Neurospora crassa OR74A: one gene and its partner. The main gene of each other region encodes a partner of the protein of the gene in region 2 in a complex. Links are inferred from orthologs where the notes say so. Each region holds a gene or a part of one and is shown on either strand. Other genes may lie near its edges.

Region 1 (6,009 bases), about 5.9 Mb from region 2:
GGTCCACCGGGGTTGAAGACAACAGGCCCTCGGTAGTCGGGGCTGTTTGAAGGCACGGCAGCTCGGAGACGGACGATGGCCAAGTTGACGCGCCGTTCTGAAGCAGAGCTATTAGTTGCTTCTGGTTGCTGCCAGTCCATGGGGAGGTTGAGTCGCGCGCAGTCAAGTTCGTCGTCGTAGCATGGGTGCCATTGAATCGGTGATGGACCGGGTGTAATATCTGCCCAGTTAAACTCCTTATCTTCCTTCTTCTGGTCCTTGTTCAGCGGGTAGACTGTGTTGGTAGTGGACCAATTTGGTCTTGCTGTCCAGGAAAGCGCGGACAAATCTGACAACGATAGCACCACCAGTATGGCTAGTGCTACAGCTGTACATAATCGTGCAATCTTTGTGATTTCCGAATGCGTTCTTTGGTTCAAAGGATGCCGCTCACTGATGGCAGACACCCGGTGACCCGCTCCTTGTGTCCTGCCCATCGTAAACTTGCTCACCATGGGCGCCTCTGGAGGATTCCTGCTGGTTTAGACACTGACAAGTCCATCAGGGTTGAGAAGAAGACGAACAGGAAGAATTTAACGAGGGCGCTATCACTTGTATCTAAAGTAGTAATGTGGATATGCTAAACACCAGCTGAACTCTTTGCTGTACGACTCGAGGATTTGCCATAATTGGACCCGTCGGGGTTGTTGATCATTTCTCAGAAGTCTTTGGCGCCATTGAAAGTTGCTTTTCAGCTGACGGCTAGATCAAGCAATCCAGATTGGCTGGCACCAGAATCTGGCAATCCCACTCAAGGTATGCGTTGGTACCAAACATACTGTAGATAACTCCTGCATACCCCTACGTACGTGTGAAGTAATGGAGGTTGTGTATGTACACTATTCTAGAGTCCAAGGGTCCAGTCCCTCGTTCTCCGGATAACGAAGGTTGAGGAAACGCCCCAATAAAGAAGCCGCTAATAGGAACTGGCGGGGATAAACTGCACGCCCGATTGGACTTTGTCCTGATCCGCAGGGCAACCCCGCATGATACAACGCGATGTCTGAAGTGGAGGCCGGGGCATCTTTGGCGATCCAGGATCAATCAAGCTCTTCAGGAGACGAGGGTGAGGGAAGTGGCACAAGTTTAATCAAGCGTTCACCACTTAGTGAACATCCCTGGCTTCCAAACCACAATCACATATCAGCAAGCCATGTTTAGCTAAAGTCACCTTTATTAGACGCTTAACTTGTAGAAACTTTTCCGAAACATGGAAAAAGAAAAGAAAAGGAAAAAAAAAAAAAGAAAAAAAAAGAAAGAAAAAACACAAACAACAAAGAGCCTGGATGTAATGTGGGGGAATCATTGAAAACAACATTTTCCTCGTCACAACACCCCTAAATCCCCAAACGCCAATGCCAATCATGCTCATGGGATAACACAACTGAAATTTGCCGACGTACTCAGGGCCCGATTAGTCCGAGCTATCAGACGTACTGAGTGTTTGTTCGGGGGGTTGCGTCCTATTCTTGAGGCTTATCGGCCTCCTTTTCCTTGTCATCTGTTGTTGCTGCCGGTGCCTTGTCGGATGCCTCCTCGGCAACCTTGCTTGGCTCTTCTGCCACTGGCTTCTCAGTGTTGGCGTCTGGTACCGGCGAGGCGGCCTTGGGAGAGGCTGCTGCTGCTGCTGCTGCCTCGGTAGCAGGCTCCGCAGTGGCGGCGGCGGGACTTGGCCTGCGCTCTGCCTCCGGCTCCGGAGCAGGGGCAGTCTCGATTTCCTCGGTCTTGATCTCCGCCTCAGGTTCTGCAGGCTTCTCATCGGCCTCGCCCATATCCACATCGCCATCTTCGTCAACTTTGGCCGCAGAGCTTACTGCAGGCTGCGCGGCTGTCGTTGCGGGGGCTTCGGCTTCAGGTTCAGCGGCGGCCGGTTGGGCTTCGTCGTTATCGATCATGGTCTCATCGTTGTCGACAGCAGTAGGCTCCGCTGGCTTAGCGGCGGCCGCGGCGGCGGTGGCGGCAATCGAGGGCGGAGCTGGTTCTCCAATATCAAGATCCATGTCCTCCACGGCCTTGGGGTTCTTGAAGTCGAGAATGGACCGGCGCTGCGGTCCGTTCGGCTTGAACACACCATTGGCTTGAGCCATGTCCTCGTCATCACTTTCTTCAAACTCGTCTTGCCTAGCTCTCTCCTTCTCCCATTGACGCTGTGTCCGCCGGACATCCTTGTTCTCGTCCTCATCCATGTCGTCAAGCTCGTCTTCCTGATCGTCTGACATACCGAAGCCCTGACGCGGAACGTCCTGCATCTGGACAGAGGGAACTGGGGCGGTCTTCTTCAGGTTTTCTATCACTGATATCTTGATCTTCTCCAGGTACTCTGGGCTGTTGGCGTTCTCCATATTGGAAGAACGCACATCAAGCTCGTAGTCGGGACCGTAATACTAAGAGTTTGTTAGCAAGGCGGCAAGCCATAATGGAACTAATCCACTTACGTCGTAGTACTCGTTGTAAGGAAGGACTGGGTTCATCTCAACACCAACCAAACGGCCGGTTTCGTAGGCCCAAGTCCTTGCGACGTTGCGCATGGTGTAGCCACCTCCGCCGAGAACCAGAGTGGGTAGTCCAAAGCTCCGCACGTAATTAACGCAGTTGGCATGGCCACGCATGCTCAAGTTAAAGCAGCCAAGACGATCACCGGACAAACTGTCACCACCGCATTGGAGGACAACAGCCTCAGGTTGGAAGTATTGCATGACAGCGCTAATGACGGGCTGGAAGATGGAGCTGTAGGTGGTGTCGTCAATCCCATCGCGGAGGGGGAAGTTGACGGCATAGTTCTTGCCGGAACCGATACCAATGTCGCGCAACTCGCCGGTACCGGGGAAGTACTCGCCGTACTTGTGGAAGGATACGGTCATGACGCGATCCGTCGTGTAAAAGGCTTCTTCGACACCATCGCCGTGGTGCACATCGATGTCAATGTAAAGAACGCGCTTCTTGAAACGCAGGAGCTCTAGGATAGCCAGGACGATATCTGTTCGGTGTAGTAGGTAAGCATGGGTGGCGTCGTACGGGTTCCAGGAAATTGTGAAGGCCACATACCATTGACATAGCAGAAACCGCTAGCCTCGCTCTTCTTGGCGTGATGCAAACCACCGGCCCAGTTGATGGCGATGTCGCACTTGTCCCTATTCAAGCGAGCGGCACCCTCCATACTTCCGCCGGCACTGATGCCGCAGAACTCAAACAGGCCGTCGAAAACGGGACAGTCATCGCCAACATTGTACTTGCCCTGCTCGCGCATGAAGCCGTCCATGTTGTCGGGGGTAACCTTTTGTAAAAACTCAATGTACTCGTCGGTGTGAAACTGTGTCATTTCGGCAGTAACGGCTGGTTTTGCACGCTAACACAGAGAGGGTCAGTTTGTCGTTGACCAAGGCCAGTACCCCCAACACAGCAAACTTACGTAGACCTCGAGAAACTTGTACACGTTGTAGTTCATGACCAGACTGTGGGCAAGACGGATACGATGGGGCTTCATAGGATGGCCGGTCACGTAGGCATAGTTGCCAATGTCGGAGTCGTAGAAGTAGGCGACCCGCTTCTTGTCATTGTGGACGACGGTATACAACGGCTCGTCACGCGCGACTCCGGCGGGATCGGTGAATGTGGAAGGCATGGTGGGCAGATGTTGCCGGGTTGCCCGTTGTGTTGTGTTGCGTTGCGTTGGCGGATACGGAGGACTATTGCGGTACAATCCGGATTGTGGGTTGGATGGTGTGTGTGTGTGTGTTGTGGTGGTGGATATCACGTCCAAGTATGTAGAAGTTATCGCTGACCGGGAGACGCTGGGATGGGAAGGACCCCGTCGTGAAAGGAAATGTTCAGGGTCGCCGGGCTGAATGGGGGAAACACGTGTTGAGGTTTCGTGGTATTGATAGAATGACAAAGTATGATATAGAAATATCCCCGTGATGTGGCAAATCACCTGGGCGGTATCGTCATGGCTTGCCAGCAACGAAAAGAAAGATGGTGTTTAGTTCGAGCTCGGTTCCTGACGCCGGGGTGTCTGTCACTGAGTGGCAGAATTGCTTGTACGAGCCACGGCACAACGCTGAGGTCGGTGCGTGAAGCCGTGGGCGGACAGGCGGGGGAGAAAGCGCAAGCACCAGCAACCCCAACGGGCGAGTGGGGTATAATTGAGCTGTTCTCCATTCTCCAATAACTTTAGTAACCAATCAGAAAACGGATTGTGCACCTGACGTCCTGTCGGCAGGCAACGTCGAACCTTCCAAAAAAGCGCCAATACTTATGAAGTCAACCGCTTTGCCTGCCGATTTGCAAACCAGATAAGATTATGTAATCCACAGCTTCCAGCTCAAGGGAACCTTCCGTCACCGGGCTGGCCTGCAGTGGACTTTGTGGCAGTTGGCGTTGCAGGCTGCCACAGCTTGTCGTCAACGCCGCCGCCAGCCAGCTGCGGCAAGCTCCCCATAGGTGCTGCATGCTCCATGCTCCAACCTGACGCGGTAGGTAGGTAGAGAGGTACTCAACCCACCAACCTAAACAACAAACCGCCCCGTCTCCCGTCTTGTCATCGACGACATCCCACTTCGACTTTACAACGAAACCGCCACCGTTTGCATCGCAACCCTCCATATACTTCTGCGCGACGTCATTACACCCGAGGAACGACGCCGATATTAATTTCCAACACCCCCGTCACACAGCTACGTCAACATAATACACTACTCTCCAACCAACAAACACATTCAAGATGGATCGCATGCGCAGCTTGTTGGGCGGCGGCCTGGGAATGGGCGGTGCCACTGCGCCAGGAGCCGTATGTTTGTTCCCATTCGCAAATTGAACAACAGAACCGCAGGCTTGCTTGGTCTGGCGTGAAGGTGACAAGGGCATGATGCTAATGTGCTGGGTTCTGGTCAGGACAACACCAACCTCATCGACAACTCGGAAACCGTCTACATTTCCTCCCTAGCCCTCCTCAAGATGTTGCGCCACGGTCGCGCTGGTGTGCCCATGGAAGTCATGGGCCTGATGCTGGGCGAGTTTGTCGATGACTTTACCGTTCGCGTCGTCGATGTGTTTGCCATGCCCCAAAGCGGTACTGGTGTCAGTGTAGAGGCTGTCGACCCCGTCTTCCAGATGAACATGATGGACATGCTCAGGCAAACGGGAAGGTGAGAGGATACTCAGCTCAACTTGACCTTTCACCACCCACTAATGTATTTCCCTTCGCAGGCCCGAGGCCGTCGTTGGCTGGTACCACTCGCATCCCGGTTTTGGCTGCTGGCTTTCGTCGGTTGATATCAACACCCAACAAAGTTTCGAACAACTCAACTCCCGTGCGGTCGCCGTGGTTATTGACCCCATTCAGTCCGTCAAGGGCAAGGTTGTGATTGATGCTTTCCGTCTCATCAACCCCCAGTCGCTCATGCTGGGTCAGGAGCCCCGCCAGACGACATCCAACTTGGGACATCTCAACAAGCCTTCCATCCAGGCCCTCATCCACGGCCTGAACAGGCACTACTACTCGATCGGCATCAACTACCGCAAGACCGCCTTGGAGGAGAACATGTTGATGAATCTGCACAAGCACGTTTGGACCGAGGCCCTCGAAATGGAGGACTTCCGCTGCGAGGGATCGAGGACGAAGGAGAGACTCGACCGCCTGGTTAGCCTTGCTGACGGCTACGAGAAGAGAGTCAAGGAGGAGACAGAGTTGACCAAGGACCAACTCAAGACACGCTATGTTGGCAAGGTGGATCCCAAGAAGCACTTGGAGGATGTCGGACAGCAACTGATCGAAGACAACATTGTTGCCGTTACAAGGCAGATGATCGACAAGGAGGCGACCATTGCGAAGAAGGATACCCCCGCTGGGGCCAATGGCACCACACATGGCGACCAGATGGAGGTCGAGGAGGAGCAGCTATAGGTACCTACCTAACCAAAAGGACAAGCATGCATGACGTTTTTTCTTTGCAGGCGCATACCTCCGACTTG
Region 2 (5,921 bases):
TGATCCGGAGAACACCTTGGGAATACAAGTGGAAGGAAACGAAGGCGCCGACGTCGCTTTGGATGTATCCCTTTCTGCCCAAAAAGACTCATCAGCACCGAAGCCTTGGGAAAAGGAGGGGAAACGCCATGGCAGTTGTGTTCTCGTTGTTTATGCCTGGACCGGTAGATGAAATATTTTCTCCCCAAGTTGCCACCGCATCGTCTATCATAGCAAGAACTTCCTGAATCGTCGGGATACCACACCAAGGGACAAATGAAACAGCATGGCGGGGAAGGCGGCGAGAAGGGGGAGGGGGGGGGGGGGGGGGGGGGGGGGGAAATGAAGCCATACAACTGAGGGGACAATCAGCTGCTAATCACAAGCACCCACCTTCTTGGCTCGAATCTGGCTCGTGCGGATATCCGGTGGCCAGGTTGCAGGCAAACTCGGGGGAGAGCTATAGGAAGGCCAAAACAAAAGAAGCCAACTCAAACCAGCACTTTGCCCGAGTCAGTGAGACGGGTGTCGTGTATCGGTGCAGTGGTGTTGAGGGGTGGAAAGCAATGGAGTTCAGTGGTTGTGATTAGGAGAAGCGGGTGTTCACTGTAGTGAGGGCGGGCGGGATGGTAGGCGGGACCTAATCGACGCACCCTTGGCTGCATTATGTAAGCATCCCGTCCTTAACCACCTCACTGCAGTTGGTCGTCTGGACAGCGCGGGTTTCGGGCTGTGATTCTGAGGAGAGGGCAGCCAGAGGTCGGTGACCCAATGCCGCTGCCTGCCATGCTGCCAGAACCTAGAAGTACACCCGCTGTTCCGCCCCCGCCTTCCACTTGTAGTTCCCGGCCGGGGGAGCCTCCATTCGGTTTCCGGTTCCCATCCGAGTGAATAGCCTCACGCATGGCATTGGGTCTCTCCCCAACATGGAGAGATCAACGGAAACTGAGAGATCACCCAATAATGATACCCTAGAGGCCGACAGCAATCACGAACCGTCGAGCATACTGGTGTTCCCACGGGTACACTACTGGAGACTCCAAGGAACAGCCCCAAGTGAGATGCTGAATTTCCATACCGTGACCTCTCTAGCTACTGTACTGAGCTACCTGTACGTTTTTCGATTTCCCAAATCCAATTGGAAGATCATGGGGAAGTACCGAGTCGACTGATGTTGACCCATTAACTACCTCTAGGTACCAGCTAGTGTACCTTGGCTTGACTTCCCCAGCAACCGAGCTTCTTTCTGGGTGGGCAAGTCTCTCTGTCTCTACTTACCATAATCATCGCCGTGCACACTCACATTGAAAGCGACCTGAATGGAGGCCGGGTTGTGGGCGGCGGTTCCTGAATGCCGGACGCACTGTGCTTACACTAGTACTAGTACAGTATTCGAGCAAGAGCCAAGCGTTTTCCATCACAGGCAGAACACTGCGGTGCCGGTGCCATTCATAGGTAGTTGCATCTGATTTGATGCCGCCCTGACAACACCATGTACTGCCATTTTCCCTTTGAGAAGCAAACGAGACCCATTCGACGACGGTAGGTGCAATTTCACTTGGAAAGCTTTGCTCAACTCGACAACAACCTGAACCAGACCCGACCTGCAGCGAGCAATGAACCGAACCCCCGCCTCCCCTTCAGGTTCCCATTACCCCAAATAATTTCCCCTTGTGTGCAACAACGAGTTTCGTTGTCTTCCACCATCGATGTTTGTTTGAACCACATTTCACTTCAAACCCTTTTCGGTTTTCAAGATGCCCCTTATTCTCTTGTCGGTCCAGGTTGGACACGGGCTTCACCTATTGAGGCGTGATGTCATAGCACGAACCCTCCCCGACGGACGGTACCAGTAATTCACCACTCTACGGCCTCTACATACCTATGCATACGACTTTCTTACATCAAACTATATCTACTCGTCTCTGGAAACTGAACAGCATCGACAAGCCGGCTTTCGACGCCGCATCCCAGAGATCATTGATATCCTGGTCGAGCTGGCCCATTATCTTTTTCCCGGCACCGGATTGGTCAACATGGGGACCGAGCTTCCAGATGGCCCCGCACGCTTTGGCGCTGCCACTGCCGCTACCGTGAGGAGGAGTGAGGAGGTGCCTGAGTGACGGACGGGATCAGACCGGGGTTGGTGGGTGGGTGGGCGGCAGCCAGAGTGGGTGCCCGGGCGGACAGCTTTCTGCCAAAATTTACTGCAAGCAACTGCAAGAGCGCCGTGTCGGGTTGGTGGTGGTGGTGGTGGTGGTGGTGGTGGTGCATCGTGGTGCCGTGGTGCGGTGCGGTGGTCCCGTCTTTTTTGGGGCTGGCAACTCGACTAGGTCCCGGGCTCGGTTTCCACCATTGTACACACACCAAGAGAGACCAGCCATCGCTTCCTCCTTCCAGGCAGTGCCGTCCTCGCTCTCCTCTTTTCTGGAAATCCTCACCACGTACACCCTGGGCCACAGACACGAAAACCCGACTTGTCGAACTTTGTTATTTCCGTCATGAGAAATAGTTTACCACCCACCTACCACGTCGACCACCGCTCCCCGATCTCCAATTTGGCGTAGCCAGCACTTCGGATCCCGTCATAGACATCTCGTCTCGCCGTCCTCCGTCCCCTCTTCTTCGTTTTTTTTCCCACCCTCGTACCCGCTCAATCTTTTACCCAAGTTAGCAGCGAACGAGTCTTGCTTTCGTGGACATTTACACAAGCAAGCCGGCGACATCCTCATCTCGAGCACGCCCCCGATCGAGCACCCTCCTCACTTGGCTGGATTTTCGACCTGAGCCCTCGCGATCCTCCGCCGTCGGTCGATCCATCCTCGATAATTTACGCTTCTCTACCACCAAGCACCGGCTTCAAGCTACGATTCGAACCTAGCACGAGTCTCATAACCTCGACACCTTCGATTGCATCTTTACTCGACGATTGTGTCAGATTCAATTTGCGGTCGAGACTCGGCCTCGTCGAGTCCTCGCTTCTCCGTGACCACATCGACAGACGACCGCGTGATTCGGGTCTGCTCCCGCCATCACGCCCCATTACTTCTCCGACCATCCACATCGCAATTGTCGAGCTTCAAGTAAAACGAAATTGTTTTAGTGCTAGGGTGCGTCATTGTCCCCAGGCACTCCGGATACCCGACCGCAGAACCCCCTCCCAACGGGCCTGCGGATCGCGTTCTTCTCTTCGACACCAATCGTGTCGATTATATACCCTACATACTTCGAGCTCCTGCCTTGACTGCGGCCCCAGCTGCAAGCAATGGCAGGGTCCGATCCGAGGCGGTCGTCAAGAGCGCGAACCTCCCAATCACAATCGCAAATCTCGTCCAGCACGTCCAGCACGTCAGGTCGTGGTGAGCGCAGCACCAGGTATTTCAACAAAGCTGTCTCACCACAAAAGTCAAGCTCCTCGGGATCGCTATCCTCTGAGGCTCCAGACGAGACAATTACAGCGGACGACTCGTTTGGTACCCGGCGTCGTACCCGCGGTCAGCAGGAAGAAAGAGAGAGGGCAAATAACAAGTCTGAGCAGGTCGAAATGGCACACGGCGACGATGACGCTCAAGACGAGGACGAGGCCGTTCGTTGCATTTGCGGCTACGAGGACTACCCAGGCCCTCCGCCGTTTGACGAAGACTCCAAGCATGGCTTGAAGGACGGCATGGATATCGATCCCATATTCGCGACCGATGTCACCGACGATGCGGCCGGATTTTTCGTACAATGCGACATTTGCAAGGTCTGGCAACATGGCGCCTGCGTTGGCATTATGACCGAAGAGTCAAGCCCAGACGAATATTTCTGCGAAGAGTGCCGCAAAGAATTCCACAAAATTTTCACAGCGAGCAACGGGTAAATCTTGCATTTCTTTGGTCCCGTGGCTGCATGGTCGGGAGCTGAACGTCAAAAGTTCAGCTGGAGTGCGTCAAAGCCCATCACACGCCTTTGACGTTGCCTCACCTTTCATGCAATATCCTCCTCCATCCACGACAATTGTCAAATCACTCTCCAGTCGACTGACGACATGATTCACAGACAACGCTATTCGCACTACCTACCCCTTAAGCGCCCCTCTCGAACCACTTCTAGATCCGCCTCTCTCAACAAGGATGGCACGAGATCACCGCCCAAAGATAAACCGGAGGGCCGCAACGGACGTGGTACGACCACTTCCTCCGCGTCGAAGCGAAGATCTACAATGAACAGCCGAGGCGCTGACTACGACGAAGCTGAAGCCCTGAGACGGGCGATTGAAGCAAGCAAAGAAGATGCAGCTTCTGAACAACCCGAAACTACCACGAGAAGAACAAAGCGAGGCAGAAGCGATAGCGAAGAGTAGGTCCACGTCCTACGCTGCCCGACATCAATAACCGCTAACCCTCTTCAAGAAAGTCAGAAAACAAGAGGCAGAGGACGAGCTCTCGATCGGCCTCTCCTAGCCTTGACAAGACCACTGAGGACTCTGACGACGCCGGCACAACAACGCGGAATGGTGCAAAGTCTAGATCGCGGGGCGGCGTAGCAGGCCGCACTCTGCGCACCGAGAAGACAACTGAAAAAGAAGAACGCGAACGACAAAGGGCTGAGGCAGCAAACAAGCGAAAGGGTAGAGCTGAGCGCCGGCGAGCTGATGGTACGAAAGCCACGACTCTCGCGAAGGCATCTGGAATTGACACAGATACAGATTCAGACCCTTCGGACGAGTTACCACTAGCAGCTCGTGCGGCAGTGAACAAGACGCCCGCTACAACGACACCGGTCGCAGCCGCCACCGCCGTGACCACTACAACGACTACTACTACCACTACTATGGCTACCCCTGCCGCTGCGGAAGAACCGGCAGAACAAGAAGAACAATCACCAGCGGTACCCGAACCCCCTCCTGCCTCACAGTCCACTCCGGAAGACCCTCCCGCTGCAGCTACTCCCACAGCCAAGATTGAGAAGAAGCGATCACATAAGAAGAAGGGTCGCAATCAATACACACGTGATGACAACGAGCCATCGCCTGCAAGATCACAGTCAGGGGAGGCACCAGCTGAAGTACCGCCTCCTCCGAAGCCAAGTAAGGCCGAAGAGAAGGCTACTGGACACGGAAAACAAGGGAAGAATAAGGGTGGGATGAACAGCAAGATCACCATGACTGACATGAAGAGGAGGGCCGCAGCACTCCTTGACTTCATTTCGCGAACCCAAGTTGAGCTTGCTGGCGAGTCACCATCGGATGATGACAAGACGAACGGCAACAGCGTCGCACCACAGTTAGCAACTGACTGTGAAAAGCCAGGGTCGGCAACAGGCATACTCGGGGTCAATTGCTCGACCCCAGCCGCTGTCATGACTTCAGAAGGGCAGCTAGGAAAGGATTTCAAGGACCTCAGCTGCGTGGAGATGATGGACAGCTTGACCCGGAGGTTGGTCAAGTGGCAGCAGGAGTATACAGTGTGATACAATGAGCGGATAATGGATGTTATACTTGATGTGCATGTGGCATGGATTACGTCGGATAAAGGCTGATGATAACTTGCACGTTTTCGATTTTGGGTTTCTTTTTTCTTTTCCACTTTCGTTTGTCTTGGTGTTTTCTCGGGCAGAACGGTGCTATCATTAGGCAGGTTTTTGCGATGATTGGATGCTTTCGAAGTTTTATATCGAGAGTACTCGGGATAGCTGTATCCTCCCTTCCACCTACTGACGACGTGGGCGAATGGGTGGTGAGGCCAGCGATGCATTTATTGGGGCGTTTTTTTTTTTTTTTTGGGTTTAAACAGGATAATTGGTTCTGGTAGTACCTAGGACGGCGTGGGTATCATTGATAACGGAGTATAGAGTTTTCAAGAATTTCATCACCTAGGTTTATTTTGCCATGATGCTATTTCGTTCGTGTGTGGGTATCAACCATCATGCTCTCTCGTTGTTATTTGGCCTTTGATGCT

The links.
Region 1: NCU02121 (region 2) and hda-3 share a complex: the UniProt entries of both Saccharomyces cerevisiae proteins name them as parts of the RPD3C(L) complex. The link is inferred for Neurospora crassa OR74A from reciprocal best matches to the Saccharomyces cerevisiae genes CTI6 and RPD3.

The regions. Positions count from the first base shown.
Region 1 is NC_026501.1:7,045,212-7,051,220, forward strand, and holds hda-3 (histone deacetylase RPD3), read right to left. Parts: upstream 4,106-6,009; 5' UTR 3,662-4,105; coding exon 3,449-3,661; intron 3,386-3,448; coding exon 3,085-3,385; intron 3,017-3,084; coding exon 2,475-3,016; intron 2,424-2,474; coding exon 1,503-2,423; 3' UTR 818-1,502; downstream 1-817. Other genes in the region: NCU00825 (hypothetical protein), read right to left, coding at 1-494; rpn-11 (26S proteasome regulatory subunit RPN11), read left to right, coding at 4,760-4,825, 4,930-5,183, 5,245-5,941. UniProt on the Saccharomyces cerevisiae protein: Catalytic component of the RPD3 histone deacetylase (HDAC) complexes RPD3C(L) and RPD3C(S) responsible for the deacetylation of lysine residues on the N-terminal part of the core histones (H2A, H2B, H3 and H4).
Region 2 is NC_026501.1:1,172,392-1,178,312, reverse strand, and holds NCU02121 (transcriptional regulator), read left to right. Parts: upstream 1-1,806; 5' UTR 1,807-3,244; coding exon 3,245-3,837; exon of another isoform or gene 3,838-4,009; coding exon of another isoform or gene 4,010-4,020; coding exon 4,021-4,320; intron 4,321-4,373; coding exon 4,374-4,618; coding exon of another isoform or gene 4,619-4,669; coding exon 4,670-5,433; 3' UTR 5,434-5,837; downstream 5,838-5,921. UniProt on the Saccharomyces cerevisiae protein: Component of the RPD3C(L) histone deacetylase complex (HDAC). Responsible for the deacetylation of lysine residues on the N-terminal part of the core histones (H2A, H2B, H3 and H4).